Linked DNA regions of Caenorhabditis elegans. The protein of the gene in region 2 purifies or fractionates together with the protein of the main gene of each other region. This does not show direct contact. Each region holds a gene or a part of one and is shown on either strand. Other genes may lie near its edges. The genes, in order: kat-1, R07E4.3 and immt-1.

Region 1 (6,969 bases), on a different chromosome or scaffold from region 2:
CAAAATCTGTTGATTTTAGTAAAAATCGTGAAAAAAAACGGGGGGTCCTATAGAAGTTTCACACTGGATTTTGACGTTTTTTCCAGCGCGACCTCAGTTTTTGAGATAAACTTCTGGAAAAAAATTTATATAGGTTTTTTTCAATTTAAAAACGAACGGCATTAGCAGTTTTTCGAAAAAATTTTCGGAAGTTCCTCAAACCTTCAAATTAGGGGGGGTCCTATAGAACTTTCCCACACTGTATATTCAATATATTTCTAACGTGAGCATTTCAGGTACTGCCCAATGAAGCCGTCGAGCCAGTTGTCCTTCAATGAGGATTTCAGCCGAGATTTCGAAAACCGCCGATTCCAGCGCAGTCGTTATCAATTTTACAAGCATTCCTCATTAATTCAGAAGATCTACGCATCATCCGAAGATTCTTTCTAGAAGATCCAATTTCTCAATACTTTTTTATATCGGGTCCAACTCGTTTATTTTCTACAAGCTTTCACAAACAGATAGTTTATTGAGTTACCCGTTCATAGCCTTTATTGATTCCAAATTTCCCATCTCACACTTTTCTACGGTCTATCATTTACTTTTTCTGCTAATAATGAATTATTCATACCGTATAATGGTCTCTATATTATCCACGTAACAACTTGTGCTTTTTCGTCGAATTGTCATCAATTTGTGGAAGAAAGTGGTAACTGAAAGAAAGAAGTTTCGAAAGAAATAGTTGTAGAGTTGTAGAATCACTTGTCAATTGCATTTGAATAGTTGGCGAGAGCTGCAATATCGAGAAAATGTGTAGCCAGGAAGGTATAGCTCTGAAAATAAAAATTTACAATTCGTTTTTTTGTTTTTACAAGCACATGTAACTTTAGAACCTTCTCACAAATCGCATAGGTGATGGCGATTCCTTCTTCAGTCGATGTGCTTCGTGCTAGCTCATCAAGAACTACAAGTGAGTTTTTATCGGCATACTGTACGATTGCAGCTGCATCTGACATTTCAGATGCAAATGCAGACTTATTTCTGATCAACTCGTCGTTATGACCCATTCTGGAGAAGATACGATTAAAAACTGAAATTAATTCGACGATAGAAAATAGCAAATCAAAACTTTTAGGTTACTTGGCAACGAAGCATAGTTTGCTGGAATGAAGCATCCTACCTATGCCATGATTGCTAGTTGGGCAGCTTGTTTCAGATATGTTGACTTTCCAGCCATATTTGGGCCTGTAATAATTCCGAAACGACGATCTCTTGTCAGACACTGAAATTACAGATAAAATGAAATCAATGGATTCCTATTCATTACCGTATCGTTTGTGATTGTTTTCTCGGAATCATCCCAGTCCAGGAAGATACTTTATTGAGTTACCCGTTCATAGCCTTTATTGATTCATCTCATTTCTTCACCAGGCTCGTCTTCCAACGCTGCAACATAAAGTATTCTTCATACGAGGATCGTTTGGCCCAAGCCAATTTGAAGTCAGTGCAATATAGGCGGGTCTTGCAGATCCTTCGCACCTACCACAACATCATAACTGGAAACTTCCACTACCCAAATGTGTCATCGTCGGTGAAGAAAGCTGTAACTCCAAGATACCCCTACATGCTCAGATCTGTTGGCGAAACAAACAAAGGATTCCTCAGAGCCAACCTCGCCACCTGGAACCGCCTAGCAAAGCAAATCCCGGAAAAATTAAATCGCTCTATGTTTGCTTCCCGGTTAAATTCTTCCCCCCTTAATATTCTCATTCCCCCAACTTGATCTCTCAAACTAATAATGGTTTATGGGATCATTTTATCATCCACCAATTCTTCCCTGTGATTATTTGTATACGATCTCCCCTTATATGTTTTGCCTTGAAGACGTGAATGAATGATATATCTCAAAAGAAAAATGCTTTTCCGATTTTTCCAGTATATCTCTTTTGAGATGGCTCAAAACCATTCCTGATAATGTACATATTAACCTTAATTCATTTCCCAATCAATAACACGTATGCACCATTTGAGAATAAACATTTATGTGACAAGAACCTTAACTATTTATAAATACGTAATCGAAATTTGTTGTAAAAGTGAATCAAGGAATGATGAATAGAAGACCAGAAAACATTTAGGCAAGAGGTTCATATTACAGTTTTTTGATGAGCACTGCTGTGGCTTCTCCTCCTCCGTTGCAAATTGCAGCTACACCGAGCTGTCCTGGAGCTAAAGAATATGCAAGGGAGTTGACGATTCGGAGACCAGACATTCTGAAAATTATTAAAATTAATATAGGTTTGTTCGGACTTAAAGTTTACTTTAAAATTTGTATGTTTTGTTTTTGTGTTTTAGAATGTTTTTTTGCTATCAGAATTTTCTCTGTACACATTCTAATTTTTCCGAAAACGCTCACTGAAGTTTGAATCAACAAAAAAACTTACCCAAGTGGATGCCCAATCGCTACTGCACCTCCTTTTACATTAACAACACTTGGCTCAATATTAAGTTCTTTGATGAAAGCAAGAACAGTGACGGCAAATGCTTCGTTGAGCTCCCACAATGCAATGTCTGAAACTTGGAGCCCGCTTTTTTTGAGAAGAAGACGAACGGCGTCCACTGGTGCCACGGTGAAATCAATGGGAGCTCTTCCAGCTTCAGCAAATGCCACGAGTTCAGCAAGTGGATGAGCTCCTTGTGGAAGAGCATTCTCTCCGACAACGACAGTTGCGACAGCTCCATCATTAAGCGAAGATGCATTGGCCGGTGTGATGGTTCCAGTGCCGTCACGAACGAAGACTGGTTTCAAAGAGGAAACCTAAATAAGTTTAATATTTTTGATAAACATTTTCTTTCTGCATACCTTTGACTCGATCAGTTTCTTATACTCCTCATCTTCAGTGATCACTACTTCCGATCTCGAAGTCTTAACACTAACTGGTACCACTTCTTCCGAAAACTTTTCAGAACTCCATGCATTTGAAGCTTTTTTATAACTTTCAATAGCATATGCATCTTGTTCTTCTCTAGTAATTCCATAATCTTTTACAGTCTTCTCAGCACATAATCCCATTGGACCTTTCTCTTTAATATCTTCAAGTCCATCCTTCGAGATTCCATCTGTCATCTGGATTCCTCCAAATGGAATTTCTCCTCTCGGCACGTAAAATGGAACTTGACTCATATTTTCAGTTCCAACAACAAGAATAGTGTCATAATATCCTGCTTTGATTTCCACAGCTGCTGTCACCAAGGCTTTCATCGAAGAAGAGCAAACCTTGTTCACCGTAACAGCTTGCGTTGTTACTGGAAGACCAGCCGACAAAGAGATCTGTCGGGTCACATTTTGTCCTAGACCGGCCGGAAGTACGCATCCACCAATTACTTCTTCGATTTTCTCCGGAGCAACTCCTAAAAATATTTAATATTTGTTTCAAAATTTCATTATCAGTAATTTAACCTGATCGTTCAATTGCTGCCTTTGCAGCGACCGTTCCGAGCTCAACTGCGCCAAAGTTAGCGAAAGATCCTCGGTAAGCTCCGATGGGAGTGCGAGCTCCACTCAGAATGAAAACTTTTTTATCCGACATTGCGATAGACTGTCTGAACTTTGGATTATTAGAAAAATCGCATACGAATAAAAAAAGATAACTGAAATTGGTTTGAAACCAATGAAAGAGAAGTAGATAATCAAAATAATAAATGAATCTATTTACCGGAGTTTCGATATGAGCGAAAAATACATAAATACAAGCTAATCGTGAAAAAAGGTAACAAACTTTAAACGAAAAAAGTTAAATTATAAATCTATAATTTCTGGATAACCATTCCACTTGAGCCACCACCTCCATTGCAAATGGCAGCAACTCCGATTTGGCCACTTTTGAGTGTGTGCACAAGATGAGTGATGAGGCGGGCTCCGGACATTCTGAAAGAAAAATAATCGATAACAAATTTACGATAAGAATGCGGAAAGAACGGTCAACTGATATGGCAACATACCCGATGGGGTGACCAATTGAAACAGCTCCTCCATGTGGGTTCACAAGGGATGGATCGACTCCTAGTTTTTTGATGAAAGCAAGGGGAACACATGAGAAGGCTTCATTAACTTCCCATTGAGCAACATCTGATTGCTTCACTCCTGCTCTTTCAAGAATTTTTGGGAACATCAAAGTTGGTGCTACAGCGAAATCGAGTGGGTGCGTGGCGGCATCTCCATAAGCCAAAATTCGGGCCAGAGGCTTTAAGCTTTGCTCGGAAACTGCTTCCTGTGAGGCAACAATGACAGCAGCTGCACCGTCGTTCAATGTTGAAGCATTAGCAGCAGTGATAGTTCCGTCTTAATATATTATGTTGATTTCAATTTTCACGATAAGAATAGTACAAACCTTTCTGGAAAACAGTTCTCAGCGAGGTGAACTTGTCGAAATTGACTTTTGTGAACTCTTCATCTTTATCAACAATCGTGACTCCCTTCTTTGATTTGACGTTCACTGGCACCACTTCTGGTCCGATATTTCCATTCTAAACAACATGGAATCATAAAACGCACAAAGAGCAATCAGTTGACAAACCTCCCATGCTTTAGCTGACTTTTTGTAGCTGTTGATAGCATATTCGTCTTGGTCTTTACGTGTAATTCCCATTTCTTTTGAAGTCTTCTCTCCGCAGTTTCCCATGTGAACTTTATCATAAGCATCGGTCAGTCCGTCTTTGACGATTCCATCCTGAATAAGAAAATGTGAGCATTGATTTCTTTTAAAGAAGTTTAAAGACTATTTTTAGACAATTTAATATTTTTTAGAAAAATAAATTAAACTCACAATCACTTGAAATCCACCATATGGGATCTCTCCTCTTTGAACATAAAATGGTACTTGTGACATGCTCTCCATTCCTCCGCCAATGGCAAAATCTTGATGACCGGTTTGAATTTGCTGGGCAGCAAGAATGATTGCTTTCAGCCCAGAAGAGCACACTTTATTGACGGTGGTAACAGCAACCGAAAGATCGAGTCCGGCTCCAAGAGCTGCTTGACGAGCGGGAGCTTGACCAGCATTTGCTTGACAGACTTGACCAAGGAACACCTGAAATTGAGGCATTTTAAGATTAAATCGGTAGTTTTTGGAAGTGATATAGAATTTCAGATATTACTAGTATAGAAAAATGCAAACAAAGAACACACTCGCCTCCTGAATTGAACTCGGCTTCACTGCTCCACGCTCCAATGCTGCTTTGATGGCAACCGAGGCGAGCTCTGGAGCAGTTACCGAAGAGAGAGAAGAACGAAATGATCCAATAGGTGTACGGGCGGCTCCGACGATGAAAGCATGTTTGTTTGATAGTGCAGCAGATGTGGTGATTCCGCGGCGAATTGCGTGTCCAGACGATGACAACATTCTGAAAAAAAAAAGAATTGACTCGACACAACTTGTTTTTGAAAATAAGATAAGAGAATGAAGAAATTCGTTCGGATCGAGATGAATGAGAGACAGAACAGAAGAAAGGAAAGATTATGATGGTTAAATAGAAAAGCTAGTACGGCGGTGGAGCGAAATTGCACTTTCTGTAAAAAAAAAGAAGGAAAGAGAGATATAGATTTTCTAGTCAAAAGTAGTGCTAATAAGGTTTTGTCGTTCTCATAAAAGAATTGAGATTAGTTACGTGTAGCTGTGAACTTTGGCGGTTTCGATACTCCTAGGAGCTCCTTGATTCTTTCATACAGGAGTTGCACTTGCTTTTCAAGAGTTCCCACGTGCAATTGAAAGTCAACTGTTCTTCTGTGACATCACACTGGAGACAGTAAAGAAAGAGAGTGAGAGCAATGTTCATATATCTAAGATCAAATGATGATGACAATATAAACTATCATTACACAACATTTCGATGCAAAAACGTTGAACTGTCTCTGAACTGCCATTTTCTAACACCTAAAGTGCTACAATAGGGGAGATAATCATAAATTAGATTTACAGCCTAAAAATTATGAACATCAAACGCGATTTTTAAAAGTTTGATATATATTTTAATCAACAATTCAATATTCGCCTAACAATTTTAAAATGCTCCATTTCGAATAATCAGTTTTCTTACTGATATTTTTTTAACTAAAACAAATGATTTCACAACAAATATTGCAACACTTTCCATCAGATTAAACAAGAAAACGCAACTCTGATAAGCTTTGTGCTTTATAAATAAAACAAAACAAAAATTAAATTACTAGCTTATGGTTGAATGAACTTTGGAAAGTTCTAAATTGGAGACACTACCGACACTGGAGAAATGTATTCCGTAGAAATGCTGCTTCATTCATGCGCGTTTTATCCATTGAATGCGTTAATAAAAACTTTGCTTAAAATATTGAAAATATTATTTTAAAGCTTTGAATAACTTTTTGAGTTAAATAATAAAGATAGCCTTCCAAAAACTACCATCGAATCTCTAAATTTCTTTCCTCCGTTTTCCGTTTCCTCATTAAATACAAACGCGCTCTAAAGCCAATGTCCGAACGCTACAAAATTTGGGAGGAATTGAGCATTTTAAAATGCATTTTGAGATGTTTTCAGCTCATTTTCATTTAGATTTTTCGCTTTTTGTCCATAATTCCGATACAAACTTATCTGAGACAACAATAAAAATGCGTCAAGTGTGTCTTAATTTCCCTAATCTTCAGACTGAGATATTTCGCTTTAGTTTTAGGATTTTCTAAAAACATGAGTTGAATTGTTCCGTTTTCTGCTTTATTTCCATAATTCCATGCAATTTTTCTTAAATTAATTGATTATTATTTTTCAGCCACTTTCAAGCACTGTCACAGGGCAATGAGCGAGCCAGAGGCCAAATTGAGTAAGAAGTAAGTGAGAAAAATGATGATCGTGTCTCATTCGATGTTGAGCCGATCGGCTGTTTCATTCTTGCGACGTAGGTCGTCTTCATTTTTCGGGACGTCAGTTTTTCTGAGCCAAAACACTCGGTTAGTCGACG
Region 2 (5,518 bases):
GAGTCATGTTCTGGTATTCCTTCTCAAATAAAGCAGATCGGTCCTGAAGTTTTCGCAGAGCCCGGACCATTTTGTTCACATAGAATTGCATGGCTTCTGGTGAGTACCATCCGGTCACTGAAATTTTGAGAAATAATTAACAATTAGACTTTAATTTTCGGAATATCATTGACTTACGTTTGGTGTAATCATGATTTGGCTCTGGGCCGACAACTGTCTTTTCACGCTCCGTCAGCTCTTCAAAGATATCATCGTCGTTGACTATAGCTATCTGCTTTTCAAACTTTTCCCAAGTCATATCGAGCTAAAATTTATACTTTTAAGCTCAATGTTTAAGTTTATGGCCGAGTTGCACCAATGGACAAATTGTTAAAAACCACTCCTATGGTGCTAAAATTACCAAATCTCATAGTAAACTTTTTTTCAAAATTTTTTTGAAATTTTGTTGTTTTGAAAAGGGGCAATTACTCAGTGCTTGCTACGTTATCGGAAGCCGTCGATCAAAAAAATTCCCTTTGAACTTTATAGCCCACTTATGTTTCAAATATTCCCACATCATAGGACTTAAACATGCTACCGTGCTATAATTTTCCAAAAGTTACAAAAAAAACTCAGTAATTGCCATTTTCGAGTGTTAATAAAAGATTTTAAAGATTGTGTTGAAAATTTTAATTATGATATTTGGTCACTTTAGCACAATAGAAGTTGGCTTTAACAATTTTTCCATTGGTGCTACTCGAACTTTAATTTCTGTCCCAAATCGTATTCAAAATCTTACCACAATGATCTGAATATATTTCCCATAATCAAAAACATTCTCCTGTGACTGATTATCATCTGCGGCTGTTTCTTCACTCATTTCTTGCTTGATTTCTGCTGCTTTCAGCTCTGTCTGACCTTCCAAAGGAATTAACTTAACCGGCTGATCTTGATTCGTTGTCAAATCTTCCATTGGTGGTTCTTCCGGCACAACCGCATCGTCGACAATACAGCTTTCTTTCTTTACCTCCACAGGTAAAGAATCTTGTACCTTGTCTTGAGCACGAAGATCGACATCACCAACAGGAACTGCTACACGCAAATCAACATCTTGTGATCTGTAATCAACATCCTTGGGAGCTGATGGTTCACGCATATCGACGTCTTGTGTTTCGAGTGGAATTGTTGGAACTGTCGGAATGATTTTCACAGTTTGCGGGATAACGGGAACCATATCTGGAGACGCTGGACAATCCATCGGAGGACTTGCTGGAGAGTCATCTTCAGGTGCGGCAGCGGATTGAAGTTTGTCCTTCTCTTCTTCCAGTTTTTTAACAGCATGTTCTTCAAGTTTTGCTTTAAGCGTTTCTTCATCATAATAAGTCTTGTCATCTTTGTCAAATTCGCGGAGTCGAAGAATAACTGGTCTGCGTAACCCAGTGTAGCGCTCCGTTGCACATGCAACTAGGAACAATGGATCTGGTGTCCCATCTGCTGAGGCTTTTCCGTCTTCATTCTCTTTGGTTTCGGCTTCTTTGTCGTTTTTCACTTCAGAAAGTAGATCGCCATTTTTGGCGTCTTTTCCTTTCTTTGCATTTGAAGGTTCGAGGGTTTGCAATCTTCGCTTTCTCCCTCCTTTAGTCAAATTTGTTTTTTCATTTTTGACATTTTCGGCTGTAATTGGACCAGACTCTCCGTCTCCTTCGTAGCCGTTTTCATTGTTGGGAACAAGGTTTGGAAATTTTTTTTTCGGTGCTCGAGGTTTCACTGGAACAACTGGCGCAGTTGTTTCAGACTTCATGTCGTCAATTTCCTTTTTGATATCTTCATTGGATTTTTCAAGGCTTGTATCAGAACTCCGATCGTTTTCATCTTCTTTTTCCAGGAGTGCTACAGGCTTATCACCAATGATCTCTTTCAAAACACAATATGCGACTGCATTATTCACTTTCGAACCTGGAAATAGGACAGGTTAAATAATTAAAACATTTGCATATTACAGTAGTTACCTTTTTTGTCATAGCACTTGTCAATTGGAAGAAGGAAACTTCTCGTCAAAACTGAAATCGTTTCCAGTGGCTGATATGTTGATGTGCCAACAATGTCAATTTTGGTAAGTTCGTAGGGCACATTTTTTCTCACAGTACAAGGTGCAAGTTCTACTCCAAAAGAAGTCCCGAAATTGACCGTTGTGACGTAGTTCTCGGTAATCTTCTTGTGAATTGTCGCAGCTAGTTTTTTTGAAGTTCCGTGTTCAACCAGATGAACATCGCTTTTGAGTCGTTCAGAAATATTTAGTTTGATTCCAGAAAAATCGAGAAACGTCATCTTTTTGTGGTATTTGTGGAACATTTTGAGAATCTGAATTTATGATTGTTTTTTTTTTATTTCTTATTTAAAGGTAAAGTTTTATGGTGTTACAATGACTGAATATAATTTTGAAACTTTTCAAAACATTTTGGAAATTAATATTTTTGGCCAAAAAGCGGTGACAACCGAGCTTGTGCCACTCTTCGAGAAATGAAACACAAATCCCTACAATGTTGGAATATAAATATTTTCAACATGAATAACATAAAAAAGGAAATTATTATTTTTCATCGATAACTTCCAAAACAGACTGGTGAAAGCTTACTTTTCATCGCTTTTTTGAAGTTTTCCGAACACTGCCGAAATTTTTTTTAAATGATATTTAGTTATTTCAACACCAAAAGAGTGATTTTTCACAATTTCCTCTCTGGCGTTACTCCACCTTTAATGTGGTGACAACTTACTTTTTCATTAACAATAGTGGATACAATGAAAAATAACGCATTTTCATCCTCATCGGCGTCCAACGCAGTTTTCCAAAGCGAAAGAAAATCATTCTGATCTGATGGCTCAAAAATCATACTTTTCGAATCCTCAAACATCTTCAGTGCTTTTCCTTCTTCCAGTTCAATGTAATTATCACCAATGTGCTGAAAAAAGTGTAAACTTTATAAACTATTGCTTCAAAAACTCACAATATGAACTCTATCGATATAGGTCGGCTGATGATCTCCTTTTTTGCAAATTTCACGCAGAAAAATGTACGCATTCTCCATTGGTGTCGCATCACAATCGATAATTGCATGCATTTTTATACTCGCGTCGACTAAAAAGTGAATTTGGTTGGGAAACGGCATTCCTGAAAGAACAATATTCAATTTCTAAAATAGCATTTAAAAAGTAAAGAAATAAAAACCACACTTTGCAAAAAAATCTAAAAATTGGATAATAAATGAGGAAACTTAACGTATAACGACAGAGGCACCCTCCAAGGTGCACACATTTATACGGCCGGGTCTCGCAGCGTGTTCTCAATGGAGCGTCCTTGCACACCAACCAACTGAGGCGCTCGTCGCAACTGCTGTATACTTTTTCCATTGAAATTTACTTTAACTTCTTAATTTGTTTATTATTTCAGATAAAAATGAGGCCTTCAGCCGTTGCAATGGGAAAACATTTTGGAAATTTGGGAAAAATGTATGGAGAGCATAGATTTGCATTGGCTCCAAACGAACAAAAAGCTTATAAAGGATTCTTCGATCAGGCATTTGTGAGAACCTTCAAAACCTACGTTTGGGATCAATGGTACTACTACATTCCACAAACTATTGGTGCATATCTTCTCTACGATTGGGCCAAGAAGACAAATGTTGCTGCAAACCGCAAAAATCCAGCTGATTTTGCCAACGACGAATAACTTGTGGAAGAAGTTGGATTAGTTATTTCAATGTATTAATTGAAATCAACGTTGGAATTTTTTCTCAAATAAAATGTATTACTAGAATCACAATGTGTTTTTGTACACAAGCATATCAAAATATGATTTACTTTAAAACTGCAGTACAAGAAAAAAAGCTAATTATTTTGTCAGCTGATAATGTTTTCATACGTAAAAAATCAGGCGGGAGAACTGCCAAAGTTAAGCAAGGAAATACCAGACTAAAGGATCAAATGCGGTATTCTAATGTTTGATATAGTCAAATCAAACATTGCAAACATGCAAGATAGACTATTATTAGTATGTGTACGCATTAAAACAGTATAATCGGCAAGAACCTCTAATAATTCTTTCAAAAACGTTTGTAGTAGAATAATTAAACACTTGAATACATTTTAGATTTTTCAAAAACTTCAGTCAAAATTGTGGCAAGTTGCCAAATTTTCCGAAACAAAATTAGTAAACCGTAGGACGACTTCAAAAACAATTATATAAAAGAGCAAACTGAATTTTCACTACTTCGTGACTGCACATAAAACAATCGCAAACTTAAAAAATTTTTTGCTATTGTTTTTAGTCATTTCAGGAACGTGGGGAAAAATTAAAAAATATTCTCCAGAAAAAAGCAATTAGAAAAAGTCAAAGTTAATATTTTCTAAACAAAACTGTCATCCTAAAAAGATTTCAAACCACAAGTGGCAAACCACAGGTTTTGAAGCTGATCTATGCTGTCAGAAGATTTATACTTTTTTACATTGGTAACTAAAGAGATATGTAGAGCATGTATTTGCGTCTAGCAACCGTTTTGCTTGTTTTGTTGTTTCTATTCAAAAAAAAGTCTACTTCCAGACAGCTGAAAAATTAGTTACAAAATATTATCGCTGGCTGGTCAATTTTTCTTTCATTTATCTAAATTTAACTCGATTTGATCTTTCAACCTTTTATACCGCTCAAAAAATACTGTTAGTCTTTGTTTTATGGATACTTTTGACAGCAGCTTTGCCAAATATTTGATTTGTTATCTTCTGATTCGAACAAAACAAATTAAACGGAAAGCGTGAAAACCTTTGAAAGCAGATAATTGATTCATAATTCCGTAATATTCTCGAGCTTTCTTCTGTAAGGTTTTTCGATTTATTTACAGTTTCTGTCTCAGGAAATTGGCTGCTGAATTCAATTTTAAATGTTCACAATGTGGGACTTTTCATTTTCCTCTGAAAAAATGTTTCACCAACTTACACTGCAAGGATGGTGTTCTTTTTAAATATGTCCTAATCTATTCCAATCGTATTCCAATGGGTTAATATGATGTAGCACTCACTTATCGGAAATTTATTTTTTGGGTTTCTCTGAAAATTTGAACAGAAAATATGAACAATTTGTAAGAGTTTAATAGCTACCAAATTTTCAAAATTCGCGTTTTTGGCAATAGCGAGCACATTTTTGGCAATTCGAAAATTTGTCAATTATCAAGTAAACATTTTTTGAAAAGTATAAAGCACAACTCTTCTTTGGTCTGTTTAGTTGCAATTTTTAACATATTCGGCAGACTGCACTTTCTGCGATGATCAAATCTCGAAATCATTAAAAAGTGTCAATATATTTTTAAAAAATCTACAGTTATCATTTGAAAGTTTAGCAATAAAATTCCGCACAGAAAAGAACCACTCAACTTTTTCTTTGCCCATATACTCCAATTCACTAGTATTTTCTATTTCTCTACACTTTCTGCTCAATTAAAATTATTCTTATAATGTAGGAAACATATTGAAAAGAATTGGTAAATTATAA
Region 3 (9,707 bases), 3.3 Mb from region 2:
TTGGATCTGCTAGCACTGTGGTTAGGCTACTCAAATAGGTAAGTCCTTTCATGGATTCCACCTGCCACACAATTTCCATCAACCCGGAGAATTAAAAGTGGCCTACCAAAAATGGGGCATGCATATGCCCATTCGCATTTCAATCATCGAGCCCATAAAGTTTGATGAAGATGCATCTGCTTGACATATTCAGAAATTTGATCTTTCCTGCCTAGTGGCTCCATCAAAGTTTTGGTGACTACCAGTGTGCTCACCAAAAAACTTTTTTTGGACATGATGGGACAATCTCGAATTACTTTATTAAAAAGTACGCTAGAAAATTTTTTCAAAAAAAAGCTTAATGGGGACTTTGGAATCAGGGCTGAACGACTGGAGAGTCGGTTGGTAGAGAAATTTTCAATTTTTCACAGATCATGTGATCAGAAAAAAATTAGAATTAAAAAAAACGACTAACGATATTTTAAACGTATAGGCCCAAAATGGGGTGGTTCAAAGTGTCGAATAAATTGACTTATTTTAGCTAAAATTTCCAATTTTGAAAAAGTGGTCAAAACCAGAGACTTTAGCTAAAAATTGGCCAAAAAATTTTTTGCACATTTTGAGTTCATATGTTTTAACAATAACATTTTAAATGATAAGTTTACAGCACATTAAATCCATTGATCTACTGCAAGTACAACAAAGAGTTTCGAATACCATTCCGTGAAATGCTTGCTTGTCGCTGTGCTACTTTACAGACTGTAATGCGACAACAAAGCTTCACCAGCCGCTACGGACCTCCTGTGTGAGTTTTTCTGCGCGGTTTGGATAAAACCAAGGAGACAGAGTTTACATTCATTGAAGATTGAGTAGCGCCAGTGAAGGGATTGTTAGAAACCTCGCAAATGTTGCCAACATGGCCAAATATCATAGTAAAGCTCACAATTTTTTTCAAAAAAACTTTTTTTTTAATGGTGGTAACTACTCAGTTTTCGCCATTTTTTTTTTGGAAGTCTAAGATAAAAAAAATAGCCTACCTTAGGATCTCCGGATTCCAAAAATTAAATTGACTTTTTCCCAAAAGTTGGCGCTGAAAATTAGCTGTGTTAGGAGTATATCATAAACTTAAATTAGTTAAAAGTTTTTAGAACTGTAAAATTTTAATCAATAATAAATTGACTCCAGATTCTAAGAACATGTGCAAAGTGCAGAAACCATCCTAAAACTTATTGAAACATTTGTCATTTTTCTGAAATTTTTATACAGTAAAGAGCAATTTTCAATCATTCTTGTATACCTATCCAAAAACTGCAAACGTGAATTTTTAAAAATTAGTTTTATCACAGCAGAACGCACCATACACCCTGTTTTTTTGAAATTATTATTCAAGTTCACTATGATATTTGGTCATTTTGGAACCATCAAACTGGCGCAACTCCACTTTTAAAAGTCTCCCGTGTTAATAAGGAATGTGGGTGGGATGGTCTTTCTTACAAGCTGTTTGGGTTGAATTTCCATCAGAATTATGTTTGAAACCTAGAAAAACACCATCCGTGCCACTTTTCACAATCACACCACAACAGTCTATTGATAGAGAATCCGCGTCAAACGGCCAAACACAACACCAGGTTATTAATTTCTTTGACTCTGCGCGTTTACAGTCGCTACCGAACCCAATCTTCCAGCTATCGACCGCTTCTGTGAGTATAACCCTACTTATCCATATATCTCAACTGTTATATACTACATCACGTTTTTAACTTTTCTTTCTTCTATTCGAGTGTTACCTTTTTCTTCTTTTTAAAAGCATGGAGTTTGCGATTTTATGCGATTTTTTCTCAGTGTTGGTTTGCGATTTGCTTCCAAACATTCAACGTTTTGCATGAGTTTTACTTCTAAAGTGAAATGATTTTGATTCTTTGCACGTGACACTGTTTCAAAATTGTACGTATGATATTTTCAGATCTCGACGCAATGACAGTCACGAAGCAAGTGACGTCTAGCACACTACACATTATGTACCATTTCATAATTTATTAACTATTTTTTTCTCATCTGATTTATTCTCATTTTCAATTTGTCGGTACACAAGTAAGGTTACGTGACTTTCCTCTCCCGTTGTATAATGCTTCTCATGCTTTCTAGCATTGCAATTATGTGCATTTCAGAAGGTGTGTGACACCTATTGCCTCAACTTTGTATAAAGTTTTATAACTTCTGAATAAATGTATTGGACAGTATAACAACCTATAATTTTGGAAGTCCATCAAAACAGAAAATGTTGGTTACATATTGTTTTGAAAAGTATAGCAATTCGCCAAAACTTTGACTAGAAAAAAAATTGTTTCGGCAGTTTGAAATTACGACAAAAATGTAATTTTTTTTGTAAAATCGCAACTACATAGACGGATAAATTGTTCAAATTTGAAATTTTATTTTTTTTAAACCTCAAAAATTTTTTTGGATATCATTTAAAATATCTCATTAGTAAATTCGGTCTTTTGGATCAATTTGTTAACCACCCGATGTCTAAAAATTGTATAAAAACAAATGAATTTCCTTTTGACACCATAAGTGTGACTTTTAACAATTTCCCCAACTGCCGCAACTGCACTTCTAGAGATTCTTTATTTGTTTGTCTCAAACTTCTACAAATCATACTTATTTCTGGTAAAAAATTGTAAAATTTTCACATTTATTCAATACATCGACGGTTCGAAAAACTACACAAACTTGGAAAAAATTGACGGCGAGAGTTTGGAAAAAAAAACGGGGAGAAAATGTGCACACACCCATCTACTATAAACTACCAACAAGAAATTGGTTTCTAAAAGACACACACACAATACTACTAGCAGCAAAACGTTTTTAAAACATTTGGATCGTTTTAAATAGGGTGAGAAATAGAGAAAAATAAAATGAGTGTAGTGAAAACCAGTAGAACACAATTTTAAAAAACGGTGACGCAAGACAATCAATTGTTCTAATAAGTTGAGCGAATCGAGGAGACGGCGGCGTGAGCCACAAGAAGCTGGGCGAGAAGGCGAGACTCGAGGTAGGAGCGGGTGTCGACGATCCAGTCACGAGCAAGATGAGCTGGCTGACCCTTCAAAAGTTGAACAACGCGAATCGCCTTATCGAGATCACCATTGTGTACGTACTGCTTGGCGCGGGAAAGGATCTGAACAAAAATGTTTCACTAGTCTTACAAAACGTTTGAATTCTAATTTTAAAAAAACTTGATATTTTTTGTACGGACATCGTACGGGACTGGGAAGCTCTCGGAATAAAGAACAAGCATTTTAATAAAAATTATGAGATAAGAATTTTGATTTTTTTGATCGGAATAAGAATGTTGCCATTCGAATCAAATTTATTTTTCACAACGGGGTCATATTTATAGAGACCCGAGTTATGAAGACAAAAGCCCGATTTTTACAAACCTGACAGTTTTTAAACGTGGGTTCATTACGTTACTTAAAGCTGACATATTTTTAATGATATTTAACATGACTACTAATCAACCACGAAGTCATACGAGCGTATCTCACAATCTGGAGTATTCTTATAAAAGTACGGAATTTCTGCCGGATTCTAAAAAAAAAACAGTGGAAAACGCCAAAAGTGATCTGCTAATCTGCTGCCAAAAATCCAACCTCAAAATTTCTAAGAGTCAGGAGCAACGTGGATGGAAATATTTTTAAATTTTTTAAATGGAATCATGACCAGATTTTTATGGAATATGTGAGCTATACAATTTTATGTATCATGTTCAATCACCTAGGGGTTGCAGAGCAGAGTTGTTTACGTATCCGCATAATTATGACCCACTCTAATGTATTCTGTACTCAAATCTATCCTCACCTCATAGTTATCAGTGTTGTTCACATCAATAGCATCTAAATTTCCATACTGTTGTGGCATATCCACGAGGAACAGGGATTTGACGTACGACCAGAAATAGGCTCCTAAGGTTCCTCCGTTCTCATCGATAGAAGCAGTCTTGCGACCAATCTTGTACAGTTGCTCGAAGCGGTTTTTGAGATCCTGCTCAGTGTATGTGCCAACTGTGGTCGCTTGTTTTGGGAACGAGTCGATGATGGCGTTGACAAACTCGTCTTCTGGATTGACCTGAAAACGATAAATTCAGATTAAAATGAAAATGTAGAATAGTAACAAAATGTAAAAAAGTTGATTTCGTTGACAAACTCGCTAACCTCCTTGAGAAGATTCAAAGACTCGTTCAATGGAAGTCTTCTCTCATCAATGTTGTTTCCGGCCTTGTTACCATGTTTCAAAGTGTCAATCAAATTATGGCACGCAATCCAGAACTGCTTGGCGCGACGGTTTTCGTTGTCAAGAGCAACTCGGCTTCCGAGAGCCTCTTCGATTCCCTCCAGTCGGCTCAACGCAGCACCAACTTGCTTGCTGTGAAGATTGCGCTCTTGCAAAACTGCCTCCTCTACCTTCTGATTCTGTTCAATCTCGAAGAGTTGTCTCTGAGTCCGGATGACTTGCTCCAAGTGCTCAGAGTGAGCCGAGGCGGTGCGCTTCAATTGATTCTCCAGCTCACCTTCCCATGATGAACGGCTTTCCACAAGCTGAAATCAAAAAGTGGAATATTTGAGGAAAAACAACTTTTAACCCCAAATTTGATAACAAACTTACAGCTCGTTCGATTTCCAACTCATTCTGACGGCCAACACGGCTCATCTCAATGCTCAATTTTTCAGACGCGATCCGCTCATCGGCAAGTCGCTGCTCTTCAAGAGCCTTTGAGATGTGCAGTTCCTCGCGAACTTGCTGATCCGAAAGCTGACAACGAAGCTGGTCAACTTTGAGATGAGCGTGAGCGATCAATGCATTCAGTTCGTCTTCGTTGAGATTTTTGTCCTGAAAATGAATTTATGTGAACTTTCAAATTTGTATTTTAGGAAACAATGTCAAAAAGGCTTTTCGTTTAGTCAAAAATTTTAAACGTTTGATATTCGACTTTCAATTTGTGAAAAATAACAGAAGCCTTTCCTATCAAATCCTCAGCTGAAATATCTTCCTGAATCAGTCAGCATCTATAAAAAATTGTAAAAATTGTGATCTCAAATATATTTGTACTGTAACTATTTGTACTAAAGGTATGTTGTATTCTTCTGACTTTACCGAGAGTACATATCAACTATAAATATAATTTTTGCTTTTGACTACAAAAATTTCATAAATGCACCTTAGCAAAATCATAGGCTCATTTGAGCCTATTACAGAAATTCATTATTTTATAAAAAACCGAGGATGGACTCCATTCCTTCTATTTTTTTCGTCACTCACTTTAGCGTGAATATCAACATTTGGCAAGATGCTCTTCATCTCAAGAGCAAACTGTTGACGAGACTTCTCAATCAAATCCTTGTACTGATTGAGGACTGCAGATTCTTGACGAGACTGAAAACAATTTTGACAATTTTTGGTAAAAGTGCCAATGCATGTAATACCTTGTTGACCAATGCGTTGATCTCATCAAGCTGATGAGAAAGCTTATTAGCAGTCTCTTGAGCATTCAGAAGTAGCGGATTTGTGGCGGTAGTTGAATCTCGCTTTCCATCGTTCACAATCTGTAAATGTCCGAATTGAGAAAAATAAATAGTTATTATTAAAAATTTGCATTTAATCAAATATTAAACAAGCGTCTCTATTTTCAGTTGCATTTAATTCCTTTTCGTAAATGAGCTTGGAAGAGGTCCTTTTTACAAATTTTGAAAAAAAAACAGGGTCGAAGTATTGCAACAAGACAAAAATCATAGGACCTGTCACATAATAACTTGTGTAGCAGTTCAAAAACAGGCACTAGATAGCCGAACTTCCGCAGACCGGACGACAGATTTAGTCCGGTTTAGTCAAGTCCTAGTTTCCAATGGTCTAACGACTCTGGGTATTTTATTATGAAGGTGTAAGACCAAAATGTGCTCATTAAAAGAATTTCGCAATGAAGTTTCTCAAAAAATTTAAAAATTTTGTGTCATTGCGGTTCAAAATTTCAAACATAAATTTTTTTTTGGGTGTTAGGCTGTACCAAAAGATACCTTGCGAAGGTTATCAATGTAGTTTCTCCCGTCCACCTCTTGGCCACTGTCGACGCGTGCCTCAGCTTCGGCTCTTTGAAGAGCAGAAGTGACGTTTTCCCAGTTGGCGTGCTTAGCATCATCGACGGTTTGCTTGAGAATACTGGCATGCTCATTGATCGCATTGATGGTCTTCAGCTTGGCCTCAGTGGCTAAACGCACTTTTCCTTCAGCAGAGTGAATTGCGATTTTAAGCTTCTCCTCAAGTTCTGTAACTTTAAACTGTTATGAAAATTACGCTTAAAAAATCTTACGTTGGTTCTTGGCAAAGACGACATCTGGAGAAGGTTTTGGGATCATTGGGGTCACATCTTTGCGAACATCCACTGGGTCAACATGTGTGGGCTCTCTTGGAAGGACAGGCGGCAGTGGCGCGAGCTCCAATGGAGGAAGAACTTCCTTCTTTTTTGGGACAGCGTTCACTACAGCATCCTTGAGGTCACCGATCTGTTGTTTTGTCTTCCTGAAAAAGGATTATCGTTAAGACTGTCACTTTTTTAGTAAATAAAGCTTACTGCAAGCTAGATTCTCCCAAAACTGCGTCGAAAACTTGTTTCACTGGCGGAACAGTGGATTCGACTTTGTGACGGAACTCAGGGTCGACATACGCGTATCCGACAACACCACCAGCTCCAACAACGGTTGCTCCGACAAGAGCCAATCCTTTGCCACCTCCGGATTTTCTGAAATACGACGCGTTTTTATTATCGATTTTGGTGTATGTTTTACTTTGGTGGTTGAACTGGTGGCTTCGGTGGAGCAGCGGCTTGATTTGATTGTTGACGGGCTCTTTTCAACGTCTGGCTGACTGATCGCTTCTGAAATGAAAAAATTATACATTTAAACTAAAAATTGCATTTTTTTAATGAAAAAAAAACTCACCGATGCAATACGAAACATTTCCGCGACGAGCAGCGAATAATTTACCTAAAAAGTAATAAATTTTACAACGAAATTTTATATAAATCAAGAAAAAATCAAAATAATCAAGAGAGTGCAATCGAAAAAGAAATAAACATATTGTTTAGTGTTCGAAGATTAAGTTGCGCGTCATGCACGAGAAACGCGCCAGCAATCGATGTCTGTGTATCTTTTGTAAGTGCGTACGGGACGACGGGAAGAATGGCTGTGTGGGGAGGCATTGGAAGAGTGTGGCAGGGAAACAAAGGGAAATTGCCGATGCATTAAACGTTTGGGACATTTTGAACGCATAAACCCAAAATGAGCTCAAATAAACGAATTTTATAATGAAACTTCATTAAAAATTTTCAAAAAGTAGTTTTTGCCGGTTGAAAATTTCGAAAAAAAAACGTATTTCAAGTGAAATCTCCAATTTCGGCCATTTTTCCGTATCGCACACCTGGTCCATAAAAATTTTCCAACACTTTTAAAAGTGATTATTTAATCAAAACGCGGAATTTGGTTGTATTTTTAAGCTTAAAAAAACTTTAGTCCTAAGCCTAATATCGACAAAAAGGGTAACGTTAATTTTTCAGAATTGTAAACACTACAGAAGTACCGTAATTTTGTTAATTAAAATACATTTAAAACCGATAGGAAAAAATTATAGTATTAAAATAGCAGCTTTGGATTACTACGACTTGGAAAAGTGGCCAAATTTAAAGATATTTGAAGTGCCATAAACGTCCTAAAATTTTATGCAACATGAATTTTTACTGTTCTGTGTAACTTTTCAATTTAGAAATCAACATTTGTACGCAAAAAAGTGCAGCAAAAGTGCAGCATATAGTACCAGATATTTCCTTAAACTTCAGAAAAATGTTTGCTTTATTTGAAAACATCTTTAATATAATTCATAAAAATAAAAATAAAAAACTGCTTAGAAATTGTCTCTAATTTAATAAGAGCCGGAAAAATATCCCACAAATTATGGAAAATAATTTCCGGCAATTTTCAACTTGCATACTATTTTTGAGCATTTTTACAGTTGTTTCATATTAAATAAAACATTACTTTTAGATTAAAAAAAAAGTGTTTTTCTATATTTTATTTTTAACATTTAATAAAATATATCACTTTTTGCTCATTTTGGCTCATTTTGTAGATTTGCCGAAATTGCCGCGCACCCCTGATATGTACACTTTACCGGAAATTTTTAAAAATTGATAATGCACTAAAAAAATAGTAGAAACCATTAGAAACCAGTGTACAATTGATAAATGGTGTTTGTATCTGGGCATTTCATGTTGAAAAAAAATCGCCAAGGTCATTTGTTTGGTTAGGCCAGTGTACTTGAAATTGGTAGTGTTAGAACTTATATTTTATTTTTAAAATAATTGATTTTCAATTTCTTTTTTCATTTTTCTTCCAATTAACTCTTTCCATTCAAATAGAATTTTGAAATATACAAATTCTCAGTCACCATACACAACTTATTAAAGCGCAAGAATTTTAACATGCCCAGCAATGCTTAAGAGACGCAGAGTATATTCACCGTAGTTTGAAGCGAGGGTCTCGAAGCGATGTGGCAGTGAGAGTGGGGCTGCCTTTTCCTCGGGTTTGCACCCTCTCATCCGCCGCTATTGATTCTCTTTCTTTTCTCAATTTCCCTCGGGCTCGATGGGCTCGCTGCTTCTTTTCATTTTCGTGTTTTTTTTTCGTCAGCAGGCACATTGAATAAATATTCCGAGGCAGGGTCACAGAAAATTCTATGTCAACTTTTCTTTACTTTCTTATTTAACTCTTACTTTGTCCCATTTAGACGTTTCCAGAAAATGTTTTTCTCCAAGCTTGGATCATTATGCACTAGGATGGATTTTCGTGATGCCAATATTCCAGCCGCCTCTTTCCACACCGTTGCAGCTATTCTGGTAAGCTTTTGCACATGACTTCAATAATAGTATTCTCCAATATTTCAGGCAATTTTCGCAATGATGTCTACAGACTGGATTCTCATTGAAGATATGAGCACAAAAAACGGCACAACCGACATCGACGCTTTGCAGGTGGCTCAACTTTACATGAAGAACACAGAACCCTGTCATGCAATTGGTAAGTCTTGTTTAGCATTGCAAAAAAATAAATTGTGTAGAAGCTGAGAGCAGATGACTGTGCAAACTTTTCAAAAAACCATTTTCTTGTAATGACTTTTACATTAAAACTGAATCAAAAGCTGGTAATACAATATTGACAAAACGGAATGCGATGTTAAAATCAACACGATTAACAGTATCTTGAAAGTGAAATGATACTTCAAATTTAAACTTAATCAAAAACATTTGAAATTTTTTAAAGATGGGGTATCATAGTGAAAATGTTCTTTAGAAAAATCAAAATTGTATATGATTTTTTTTTGAAAATTGGAAAAATCTAAATTTTTGCCACTTTTTGGAAGTCGTCGATCAAAAAAAATTATTTATGGTCTATTTAAGTTTTAAATTTCAAAGGTGGAGTAGCACCAGTGTGGATTTTGTTTAAGTATACTTATGATGATTTAAAACGACCGATTAAATAATAAAACACTCCAAACAAAGTTAAGCACAGTGTTGGCAAATTGCTAAGCTTTTGGAAAAATATGAAATTTCAAAGAAATGCAGAGCAATGTCGCATGTTAGAATGTTTCAATAGATATAATTAATACAAAATAAAAGTGTG

The links.
Region 1: the proteins of R07E4.3 (region 2) and kat-1 fractionate together in Caenorhabditis elegans (co-fractionation; one large-scale study listed by BioGRID). This does not show direct contact.
Region 3: the proteins of R07E4.3 (region 2) and immt-1 fractionate together in Caenorhabditis elegans (co-fractionation; one large-scale study listed by BioGRID). This does not show direct contact.

The regions. Positions count from the first base shown.
Region 1 is NC_003280.10:7,072,227-7,079,195, reverse strand, and holds kat-1 (Acetyl-CoA acetyltransferase homolog, mitochondrial), read right to left. Parts: upstream 5,383-6,969; 5' UTR 5,382-5,382; coding exon 5,172-5,381; intron 5,070-5,171; coding exon 4,806-5,069; intron 4,710-4,805; coding exon 4,557-4,709; intron 4,507-4,556; coding exon 4,371-4,506; intron 4,322-4,370; coding exon 3,982-4,321; intron 3,908-3,981; coding exon 3,787-3,907; 3' UTR 3,685-3,786; downstream 1-3,684. Other genes in the region: T02G5.7 (Acetyl-CoA C-acetyltransferase), read right to left, coding at 2,132-2,252, 2,424-2,797, 2,843-3,390, 3,440-3,569; kars-1 (Lysine--tRNA ligase), read left to right, coding at 6,855-6,958.
Region 2 is NC_003284.9:5,950,025-5,955,542, forward strand, and holds R07E4.3 (Cytochrome b-c1 complex subunit 8), read left to right. Parts: upstream 1-3,433; coding exon 3,434-3,706; downstream 3,707-5,518. Other genes in the region: R07E4.5 (VWFA domain-containing protein), read right to left, coding at 1-117, 178-304, 779-1,935, 1,989-2,340, 2,754-2,939, 2,985-3,146.
Region 3 is NC_003284.9:2,680,166-2,689,872, forward strand, and holds immt-1 (MICOS complex subunit MIC60-1), read right to left. Parts: upstream 7,020-9,707; 5' UTR 6,993-7,019; coding exon 6,975-6,992; exon of another isoform or gene 6,911-6,974; coding exon 6,822-6,910; intron 6,776-6,821; coding exon 6,608-6,775; intron 6,556-6,607; coding exon 6,347-6,555; intron 6,302-6,346; coding exon 6,054-6,301; intron 5,586-6,053; coding exon 5,466-5,585; intron 5,416-5,465; coding exon 5,302-5,415; intron 4,873-5,301; coding exon 4,648-4,872; intron 4,581-4,647; coding exon 4,197-4,580; intron 4,111-4,196; coding exon 3,844-4,110; intron 3,161-3,843; coding exon 2,963-3,160; 3' UTR 2,589-2,962; downstream 1-2,588. Other genes in the region: ser-7 (G-protein coupled receptors family 1 profile domain-containing protein), read left to right, coding at 1-38, 647-784, 1,641-1,679, 1,943-1,982; T14G11.1 (Membrane-associated protein), read left to right, coding at 8,828-8,923, 8,972-9,104.